Linked DNA regions of Danio rerio. The protein of the gene in region 1 interacts with the protein of each later gene in a pairwise test. Links are inferred from orthologs where the notes say so. Each region holds a gene or a part of one and is shown in the gene's direction. Other genes may lie near its edges.

The links.
Region 2: the proteins of dbnla (region 1) and sh3bp2 interact in binary tests that used the Homo sapiens proteins (3 or more experiments, as listed by UniProt). The link is inferred for Danio rerio from reciprocal best matches to the Homo sapiens genes DBNL and SH3BP2.
Region 3: the proteins of dbnla (region 1) and sh2d4a interact in binary tests that used the Homo sapiens proteins (3 or more experiments, as listed by UniProt). The two-hybrid records come from large-scale screens. The link is inferred for Danio rerio from reciprocal best matches to the Homo sapiens genes DBNL and SH2D4A.

The regions. Positions count from the first base shown.
Region 1 is NC_133185.1:47,603,972-47,607,996, forward strand, and holds the start of dbnla (drebrin-like a), read left to right. Parts: upstream 1-1,225; 5' UTR 1,226-1,285; coding exon 1,286-1,362; intron 1,363-2,167; coding exon 2,168-2,223; intron 2,224-2,356; coding exon 2,357-2,469; intron 2,470-3,634; coding exon 3,635-3,709; intron 3,710-3,804; coding exon 3,805-3,951; intron 3,952-4,025. UniProt on the Homo sapiens protein: Adapter protein that binds F-actin and DNM1, and thereby plays a role in receptor-mediated endocytosis.
Region 2 is NC_133185.1:17,519,549-17,523,048, forward strand, and holds part of sh3bp2 (SH3 domain-binding protein 2), read left to right. Parts: intron 1-297; coding exon 298-357; intron 358-1,582; coding exon 1,583-1,738; 3' UTR 1,739-3,500. UniProt on the Homo sapiens protein: Binds differentially to the SH3 domains of certain proteins of signal transduction pathways. Binds to phosphatidylinositols; linking the hemopoietic tyrosine kinase fes to the cytoplasmic membrane in a phosphorylation dependent mechanism.
Region 3 is NC_133185.1:7,462,955-7,466,454, reverse strand, and holds part of sh2d4a (SH2 domain-containing protein 4A), read left to right. Parts: intron 1-1,569; coding exon 1,570-1,700; intron 1,701-2,325; coding exon 2,326-2,543; intron 2,544-3,500. UniProt on the Homo sapiens protein: Inhibits estrogen-induced cell proliferation by competing with PLCG for binding to ESR1, blocking the effect of estrogen on PLCG and repressing estrogen-induced proliferation. May play a role in T-cell development and function.

The DNA.
Region 1 (4,025 bases):
AACCTTTGAGGAGACTGAAGCGCTGAGTTAATTTGTTTCAAATGTAGTGTGAAATAATAGATTTGGGGGGCCACATGGGCAAAACACATGCAGACTTCCCTCAGAATTCCTTTCACTGTGTGATGGCAGAAGATTTTTCATTTTTCATAAAAGCCTTTTCTCTACAAGTTGACATGTTGCTCCAGTTTTCGGGCATAATACAAATTAAGTCAATAGAAATACAAAGGAGTCAAAATCGTGAAAAGTGCGCCATCGTGCGGTCAAACAAATAACTGCGTGTTTTATTTTAGAGCCAATTGGAAAAGATGCATGCAAACAAAAAGTCTAAATAAGTATCATAATTTGCATTTGTAAATGCATGTCACAAACAAAAATGGCACAATAAGTATGGTAACAGTGCAATCTGCAAAAGTATTTTCAGCGGCAATCTGTGTGTGAATTGTTTGGAAAAGCTGTAATTGTTTTTGAATTTCACATACACATATAAAACTTTTAGGATAGAGTGTGGAGCATTATTTAAAAGCAATAATACACCACAACATAGCATAACATACTTCACTGACACCTTTACCGGTGGTATTTCAGATCGCAATTTCTCTTGCTCTTCAATCTATGAACTCTGAAGAAAAGGATTTGCATTATAGCTTTGTTCAGTCTATTCTTTAAGTAATTACAGTAATGTGATTGTACAAGTCCAACTAGTTCCACGTGTGACCTCGTGAACCGCCCTTAGATTGATCAATAGATATATGCTAAGTAAGGTGCGACTCATGAACAAATAGTTCGTTTGAACTGATTCAATCCAACCGATTGTTAACATGATGGACAATGCTAACATTAATATAATTAACACTAATTCTTAAATTGAATTATTTGACGCTACATATCATATCCAATGAAAAAGTAAACATAAATAACGCGTAAACAAAACAAAAATATCCGTGAATCATTTGATCGGTTCTCTTCAAAAGAGTCGATTCTGTAAAATGATTCCCAATGCTAACACGTTGACCATTTTAACAATTTTAACAGTGTTCTCGCTGTAATGCATTTCTACCACACACAAAATTCAATATTTGTCCCTGTTTAAATCATTTAAATAGTTATGGCTTGCTGGGAAGCTCTTTCTCTTCCTCCTTTCAATTCCCAAAAACTCGCCGAACCAGATTTCAAGAGACAGGTGCGTTTTTAACACGACAAAGGACGCTCAAACGAAAGAGGAAGACTGGTTATGATTATATCTCCATTAAAAATATCCACAACTTCATTCATTTCATGATCCACAATGGCGGTAAACCTGAGTAAAAACGGACCCGCGCTTACAGAAGCATATGATGAGGTGGTGAGCGGGAAAAAAGACTGGTAAGAAAACTCCATCACACATCAACACCTCGAAAATAAATCGACGAATGACATGTTTTTTTTTAAAGAATAAGTAATCATTATATTTACTTTACGTAATTAACTTTGCCATTTCAAGAGAATCTGGCATCCAACATTAAAAATACTATAGTAATTAGAGTAAATAGTGTTTTTGAAGCATATAGCAAAGCGTATTATTGTATACACTGTACACTCGATTTGCGTTGGGACAACATGAAAGAGTTAACTTATTAGTTTTTACAAATTTAAGTAGATTTAATGAAAAAATTAAGTTGTCCCAATTAAAAAAAAACTCAAAAATTGTGTTGTTTCAGCTCATTTTAAATAAGTCGTTTAAACAAATAGCAAACGTAATTTTTTTGAGTGTATAGTGTTTACAACACTTTTGTTAGTGAATGATAAAGCATAATGTAGTATTATTAACTATAGTGAACTATAATAAATACAGCAGTGCACTTTAGTTTTTACTACAGTAAACTGTGGTGTAGTATAATAACAATGTAGTATAATAACAATGTAGTTGCAGTAAAGTTGGGTTGTTTATATTAGTACTAATATAGTTGATGTACTACTGCAACAATAGAATTCAAAATACTCTAGTGTTTACTTTAGTATTTTTTCATTTATTTTCAAAACAATATTCAAATTTGTTTTATGAGCTATTACATATAACCTGTGCAAAAAAAAAACAGAATGGCTGGTTACTTCTTGGCGAGTATTTTACATTTATAATAGCCTATTCTGTTAATAATCTTGCATGAAATGTAATTTTTTTTTTAAACAGGGTGTTGTTCACCTATGAAGGAAACAGTAATGACATTCGGGTTGCAGGGAAGGGAGGTGAGTGTTTTCTTCAGATGAGATGAGAGTGCCAATAGACTGACGTCATGCTTTTTTTTTTTTTTTTGTCTTATTGATGAGTCAGCAGTCCACAGTTTCATATGCTGGTTTGTGTTTCTCTCATTTTTTTTAGATGGTGGGCTTGAAGAAATGGTGGACGAACTGAACAGTGGTAAAGTCATGTATGCCTTCTGTAGAGTGCTGGACCCCAGCTCTGGAGTGCCCAAATTTGTGCTCATCAACTGGGTATGAACAGAAAAATATTCAGAGCTGGATGTACAAATAAAAAATGCTTCATGAATGAATAGTTCACTCAAATATTACATTTACATTTAGTCATTTAGCAGACGCTTTTATCCAAAGCGACTTACAAATGAGGACAAGGAAGCAATTTACACAACTAAGAGCAACAATGAATAAGTGCTGTAGGCAAGTTTCAGGTCTGTAAAGTCTAAATGTCAGACATTAATGTCTAAATGTCAGACATTAAGTCATAATGTCAGACATTAACAAGAATTATTCATAATATTTATTAAATTACCCAGTCAATTGTATTTTATTAATGTCTACCTCAACCCCAACCCTTACAGTAATGTAAAAACAGTAATTATCCAGAGAATTATTCATATTATTTATTAAAATGCGGATGGGCCCACGCGGATTGCAATATGCACTGGTCATTCATTCATTCAGTTTCTTGTCGGCTTAGTCCCTTTATTAATCCGGGGTCGCCACAGCGGAATGAACCGCCAACTTATCCAGCAAGTTTTTACGCAGCGGATGCCCTTCCAGCCGCAACCCATCTCTGGGAAAACATCCACACACAAACACTCATACACTACGGACAATTTAGCCTACCCAATTCGCCTGTACCACATGTCTTTGGTCTGTGGGGGAAACCGGAGCACCCGGAGGAAACCCACGCGAAGGCAGGGAGAACATGCAAACTCCACACAGAAACGCCAACTGAGCTGAGGTTCGAACCAACGAACTTCTTGCTGTGAGGCGACAGCACTACCTACTGCGCCACTGCCTCGCCAGCACTGGTCACTACTAACTAAACGGAGTAGGACCACACAGTTATGTTTTGTTAACATGTTGAGGTTATATGTTGCATGTAAAATGTACGTTTCAAAACTGCACAAATTTTGTCAATCCGCCTATGCACACAATCAAATTCAAAATCACCCGATCTGGCAACACTGACAACAAAGAAGACTTTCTCCAGAAGATAAAATATTATAGGAAATACTGTGAAAAATGTCTTGCTCTGTTAAACATCATTTGGGAAATACTTGAAAACAAAATTCACAGGAGGGCGAATACTTTTTACTTTAAAAAAATGCAGCAACACCGAAAGCTTTAAAATGTATTCACAGCTTCATTGATATGAATCCTCTTTTGGTTTTAGACCGGCGAGGGAGTCAAGGACCTCAGAAAGGGTGTTTGCGCTAGACATGTTCACTCAATGGCCAATTTTCTGAGAGTGAGTTTAAAATACAAGTCATTCTCTTATTTGTCGCATTATGTCATGCAAATAAACACCATCATAACTTTAATCTGTTATGTGTTGAATTAAAGGGTGCACACGTGACCATTAACGCTCGATCAGATGATGACGTGGAACCTGCGGCCATCATGGAGAAAGTGGCCAAAGGCTCCGGCGTAAACTACAACATCCACAGAGAATCAAGCCAGAACAATCATTCTGAGCCTCCTGGACGTGTGGTGAGGGATTTCAATCATAATCATAACTCATATTAAAGATTATGGAAGTCTAGTCCTACTATGGAAATTGTGAA
Region 2 (3,500 bases), about 30 Mb from region 1:
ATAGATAGATAGATAGATAGATAGATAGATAGATAGATAGATAGATAGATAGATAGATAGATAGATAGATAGATAGATAGATAGATAGATAGATAGATAGATAGATAGATAGAAAGATAGTCAAGTGCATAATTTAAATAAATAAATAAATTAATTAATTGTTATACTGTTTTCTTTTGAAATCTAATATAGAATGTCTTAAAAAAGTAAACTATTTATTCTGTCATTTATTTTATAGGAGATTGCTATAAGTATTTGTCTGTATTAGATTAATGCCTTGTTTTTTATGTGACACAGGTACTTGTTGTTTGGGACTCTGGAATAAACAAAGCCAGAAACTACAGGCTTTTTGAGGAGGTTAGTGTTTCCATATTTTCCATATATTGGTAATAGCACAAGCAAAAACAAAAAAATAAATGAACGAATGGTTTTATAGTTGGATAAGTTGTACGATATAAACAACTCATTGCAAAAGATTTACAATCAGAATTATGTGATGTAAACTAGGATTTGCAGGGCATAAACTCTGAAACTCTGAAACACAAAAGAAACCCAGAATAGCAAGACATAAATGCAGAATTACAAGACATAAACTCACAAACTGAGAGATTTATTAAGAACTCTATTTATTCAGAACTCTGATTTATTCAGAATTCAGATCTCTTAAGTGAAATATGAAAACATAATAATAATAATAATAATAATAATAATAACAATTGTGATATAAAACTCAAAAAACAAATTGTAAAAAAACTGTTGAAAAACAGTAAAAACAAACTTATATCCAAAATAAAAGTTTGATTTTAGATAAGATGTGTGTTATAAATATTTAATATGTATATGTAAAACAAACACATCCTTAAAAACAAAACTATACAAATCCTTTTTTGCATACATAGATATTTAGATTTATATAAAATTTGTATCATATACATACACACACACATACACACACACACACACGCACACGTTATATCTAAATATAAATAATACATTTCTCAAATATATTAATTTATTTGAATATTCATATATATGTACGAAATAAATATATCAAATACACACACATATATTTTGTCAAAACGAATTATTTTTATGCAATTAATTGCGGTTAATATTTGCCCAGCACTAGTTAAAACTAGAAACTGCAAGAATTTGAAGGTTATATTCGCAGTTCCAACAACATGAATTAAAATTAAAATTGTTAGATTTTAAAAATCTAGTGCTAAAAAATGTTTTAAATCAAAGACATTTCAAGTTCAATATTTAATGCAAATTTCAGTCTTCAAATTTCACAACTACTGTTCAAATTTCTTCCCAGAGATGGGTTGCGGCTGGAAGGGCATCCACTGCGTAAAAATGTGCTGGATAAGTTGGCGGTTCATTCCGCTGTGGCGACCCCGGATTAATAAAGGGCTAAGCCGACAAGAAATTCAATGAATGAATGAATGTTCAAATTTCAAAACCAACGCAGTTGTGAACAAGGCACAATAGCCTTTTTACTGGTTTATTTATGTGACGAAAGCAAGCTTCTGTAGTCAAACAAATTATTCATTCTTGCCATCTCTTTTCCGTATACTTCCAGGAGCAGCGTATTTATCTGGAGACGGACGTGACGTTCACCTCTTTAGCTGCTCTGGTTGAACATTACCACAGTCACCCACTGCCCAGCAGCAACAACTCCATGCCCAATTACTCGCTCTGCTTACATTTACCATTCGGCTACACCCCGCCCAGGTGACCCCGGCCTCGGTCTCACACTGAAAAACCTGCTGCTCCTTCTGGACAAAACACCTGCATCCCATCAGGACACACAAGCACTGTGAAGAAGATTGTCATCATCACTGCCAGCAGACTGCGCTACAATTAAAGCTTCACAAATGTGGACACACTGTTTGAGGTCCAGTGCTTTCAACAGTACTCAGCTGATTGCAAGACTGATTTCTGAAGGATCATGTGACACTGCAGACTGGAGCGAATATTATGCTGAAAAATCTGCATTGACAACTCAGGAATAAATAGCATTTTAATGTAATAGATTCAAGCAGAATGGCCATCATGTTACATAATATTTTTAATTCTGTATTTTAAATGTACAATTCTGTCATTTTGATCCAAGAACTTATTGATCAAATCCCAATCCTTGGTGAGCATAAAAGATTTATATATATGGTGTATAGTGGCATAGTGGCTCAGAGGTTAGCATTGTTGCCTCATAGCAAGAAGGTCGCTGGTTCAAGTCCCGGCTGGGCCGGCTGCATGGGAGTCGGTTGCTCTAACAAGGAGGCTAAAGACCGTGGCCTCTAACAACTGTCGCTAGAGCACCTTTTGAGATCAGTGGAGTGAGATTTACCTGCATAGCACTTTGCTTACTAGCCTCTGCTACACTCACCCCTCTAAAGCTCACTCCCATCCCGGACAAGCCCCCATATGTACCAACCGGTCCTACTGCAACCAACCCGGTTTGAGCTGGGATCAAACCGGTAATTGTTAGCATGGCAGTCGTTTGTTCTAACAAGGAGGCTAAAGACCGTGACCTCTTGCACCTGTCGCTAGAGCACCTTTTGCGTTTAGAGGAGAGAGGTTTACCTGCATAGCACATTGCTTACTGGCCTCCGTTAAACTCCCCCACCCTAAACCTCACTCCCATGGACGAGCCCCCACGTGTAACCCACCGGTCCTACTGCACCCAACCCAGTCTAAGCTGGGATCGAACCAGCAATTCTTTGCATAGGAGTCGGTTGCTCTAAAGCCGCCTTTCCACTGCACACAACATTGGGACACGACTATCAGAATACGCCCTCTTGTGGCAGTCGCACAGAATTTTCAGTTCTGATGTGCACCATGGGAGAGAAGCTGTTCTCGCAGTGTTCTCTAAAAATATTGCAGGGAATGTGGAGACAACATAAAACATTATATTTATTAACATTTATTACTTTATTACTTACATTTATGAAATGTTTAGTTTAGTTTTTAAATATAGACTTTTTCTGATTCAAAAAATAACCAAATAAAGTCCTATTTCTTATCTCGCGCGCACGGACCTGCTTGAACAACACTGGAATACAACACTTCCGGTCGGCCGGTCGCTTACGGTCTAGTCGCAGGAGTTTAAATATTTCAACGGCTCCGCAGCTCAATTCGAATCTGAATTTTTTACATACGGAGATGATCAGAACTCCATGCAGCTCCCGGACTACTCTCCATTGGAAATGAATGACTTCCGGTCTGTTACTTGTCGTGTGAAGTGGAAAGGAGGCTTAACAAGGATGCTAATGTCCATGCCTCTATCGTCTTCGCTTGCTGGCCTTCGCTACACCAGCATCTCAAAGTGCAATTTAAAGGCTTAACTAGGCTGGTTAGATGGTTAACTAAGCATGTTAGGTTACTTATTTCTCAGCGACAGATCCCAACAGAAGTCAATAGCAAAAAATAATGTGAATTATTTGTATTAGAAGCATAGTTAGTCACTAATGGTATCCATCAAATGCATACTATTGTGT
Region 3 (3,500 bases), about 40 Mb from region 1:
AACTGTCAGTGGGCTGCCATCTTTCATAAGAGACGTTAAACCAAGGTCCTGACTCTCTGTGCTCATTAAAAATCCCATGGCACTTCTCAAAAAGAGTAGGAGTCTATCGCCAGTGTCCTGGCCAAATTCCCTCCATTGGCCCTTACCCATCATGGCCTCCCAATCATCCCCATCCACTGAATTGGCTCTATCACTGTCTCTCCTGGTGTGGTGAATGCACTGGCGCTGTCTGCTGTGGCTGCCGTCGCACTACCCAAGTGGATGCTGTATACTGGTGGGGGTGTGGAGAGACTCCCCCTCATAATTGTGAAGCGCTTTGGGTGTATGGCCATACACAATAAATGTGCTATATAAATACACTTTACATTACATGTAACAAATTGTGGTTATGTGTATATGAAACTACGAATAACAGATGTAGCAGGACATTAAATTACTGTTTATTTTTGTGCATTTTAACTTTGTAAACTAAAATCATGCCTCACCTCACGGTTTGTGTCTCATTTTGTGAGCTGACAACAGTTGTTCGCTTCCCTCTTTTTCCCCTGCTTTGCCGACCACGCCCACTCCTTCCTCTGCTCTCAGCGCTCCACGCCCATCTCGGTGCTTTTTTATTTTTTATTTTTTAATTAGGAGGTAGATCGAAAGAGGGTTTTAACTCCCCTTACTGTAAAACACATTTGTACTGTCCTGTTTTTAATTTTTCCAGAAGGATTTTTTATGAAATGAACTCTCTTAAGGACATGCAGTGACAGCAGAAAAAATAATGATTTTTTTATCATGTAGTAACACTAAAATCTTATTCAATTTATTTATTTTGTTTTTTATTGTAGATTTATTATTAAAGTATTCTTGCCATGAAAATAGCTTTGGTTGCTGACATGGCATTAAACAAAAAATATACATTACATTACATTGAGATAATTTTGATAAAAATTAATTTATTCTGGACTTTATTATAAAACATTTAACACCAGTTTTTGCTGTTTAATTTTTTTGTGGACGCCATCACAGGAGTCTTCTACTAATAATGCTTAATGCGTTTACTTGAATTAAGTTTGATATGTCAATTTAAGTATGGATTTTTAATGATCAGTGTTGAGAGAGTATTTTGATTTAAAACCTTGCAGTGTACTTGGAATTTTCTCTGTATTTAATATAAATAAACATATCAAAGGGTATACTAATCTATTTAATAATCAGTAATCTAAGTACACTCTGCTAAAACGGGGTAAACAAATCTCTATCTTGATCCCCACCTATCTCTCTAGTGCTAATAATAGAGATATATTCATCATATCTGTCACCTCTTTTTATTCAAGACTCATTCATCTCAGGAATGTGGTACTGCAGGCTGTGTAATTACGTGTTTTGACACGGATTTCCCCTCAACGCATCATCTGTTGTGCAAAGCCGCTTCTAGTTCTCTTGTTATGTACAGTAAATATGTTTAACAGACCAAATATGAACTGAATGTTGTGAACAAAGTCTCAGGAAATATCTTTACATGGCTTCATGGCTGATGGTCTGGGATTTGATCCAGTTTGTTTCTTCTGTTCTGTCTGGCAGGAAAGGCGGTATGCGGCGCTCACAGTCAACGTCCAGTCGAGAACATATTATTCGTTGGTTTAAGGAGGAACAGTTGCCCCTCAGAGCAGGGTTTCAGCGCGATCAAAGCCGGATCGCCACATGGTTTCACGGTGAGAATCAATTTAGGCAGAATCCAGAATTGTTTCTTAAAGCACACAATGAGAAAATTAAAATTCTGCCATCATTTACTTACTTACCCTTGACCTACATTGAACACAAAGGAAGATATTTTAAGGAATGTTAGAAACCTGCAACCTTTGACTTCTGTAATATTTGCTTTTCCTACTATGAAAGTAAAAATTTTCCAACATTTTTTTTTTAATATCTTCTTTTGTATTTAACAGAATGATGAAACTGAAACAAGAAAAAGTTTCTGCAGTCTTTACTCAATTATAAATAAATGAAAAGCTACAGATCAAGAAGGTAAATGACTAAAAATGAACTCTCAGTAATGATTTTAAATCACACTGAACTGAGCTGAACTGAACTGAACTTAAACACTAAAAACTGAACTACACTGTTCCAGTTACTATGACCATTTATGTGAAGCTGCTTTGAGACAATCCACATTGTAAAAGCGCTCACCAGGGCACCCAGGGCTCAAATAATAGATTCTTCAAATTTTGTAGACCCTTCCTGTCTTTCCAAACAGAGCTATTGAATTAGTCTATATCAAGTTAATACAGTATATAGAGATTTCCTACAACCGATAACATGATCTGATTTTATCTACAGGTATAATCTCCCGTGAGCAGGCAGAGGAACTGCTGAGCGGTGGTGAGCCCGGGCTTTTCCTGGTCCGCGTCAGTGAGAGGATCTTTGGATATGTGCTTTCCTACCGATTCAAGGATGGAATCAAACACCTGCTGATTGACTCCTCGGAGAACTGCTACATGCTGCTGGGAGACCAGATCAAATTCAGCTCCCTCAGTGAACTAGTGGAGTATCATCAGGTAATGTGCTGTACCAACGCAATCTCACGGCAACTCGTAACTTTTTGATTTAGCGGCTAATTCGAATGAATTTGTACGATTACACTCGTACAGTTTACAGACCCCCTAGTTTTTGGGAATTTTTTTATTTTTTTATTTTTTGGTGATTTTTCATGATAAAAATGACTGATTTTGTGGCGGAAATTTGCGGACAGTTTTGTGACTTAAAATATATATACATACATGTGAAAAAGTATATACATATAATCTATTTACCAATATTTACCATATTGGGTAGCCTGCTATGATAGGCGTGCAATCTGACACAATAACAAGGACAGGGGCGCCTGCAGGATTTTATTCGAAGGTACTCACAAATCCAGCACTGCCCCGCCCCGTCCCCTTCCCCTTACCCCAATCATATCAAGAAACACTGATGCTTACTGTCAAAGGCTACATTAAGGATATTCGTTATGACATTTATTTGTTTCTTTTTGTCATTTATTTGTTTCCTTTTTAAAATTAATATGTTTTCTTTGAAATCTAAATGTAATAAAAGCACATCAGCACAAAGGAAAAATCAGATGCTCGAGACGTAATCTTTAAAATTAAGACATATTAAAAAATTGCAAATATATGACAGAAGATTGTGATACAATACAATTAGTGAAGCAATAATTAAATCCTTACTTTACACTGACCGAAAATCATCCACCTGCACAGTTGAGTAGTAAACGGGCTCAAACAAAAATATATATTTTCTTGGAAAAAATATCTTTTTATAAAACGAATTTCGTATATAGTTTGTCTCTTTGTTTAACTATTTTTCTTGGTCAGTTATCTTCTAGATACAATAGAAGAACGAATAACATTTGAGTTGAAGTGCTTCAAAACAAATCTGCTATGCTTCAACAATACCAAAGCACGAACTGGATTGTCAAATAAAATAATAATCTAGCCTAAATAAAATTAAAGTGA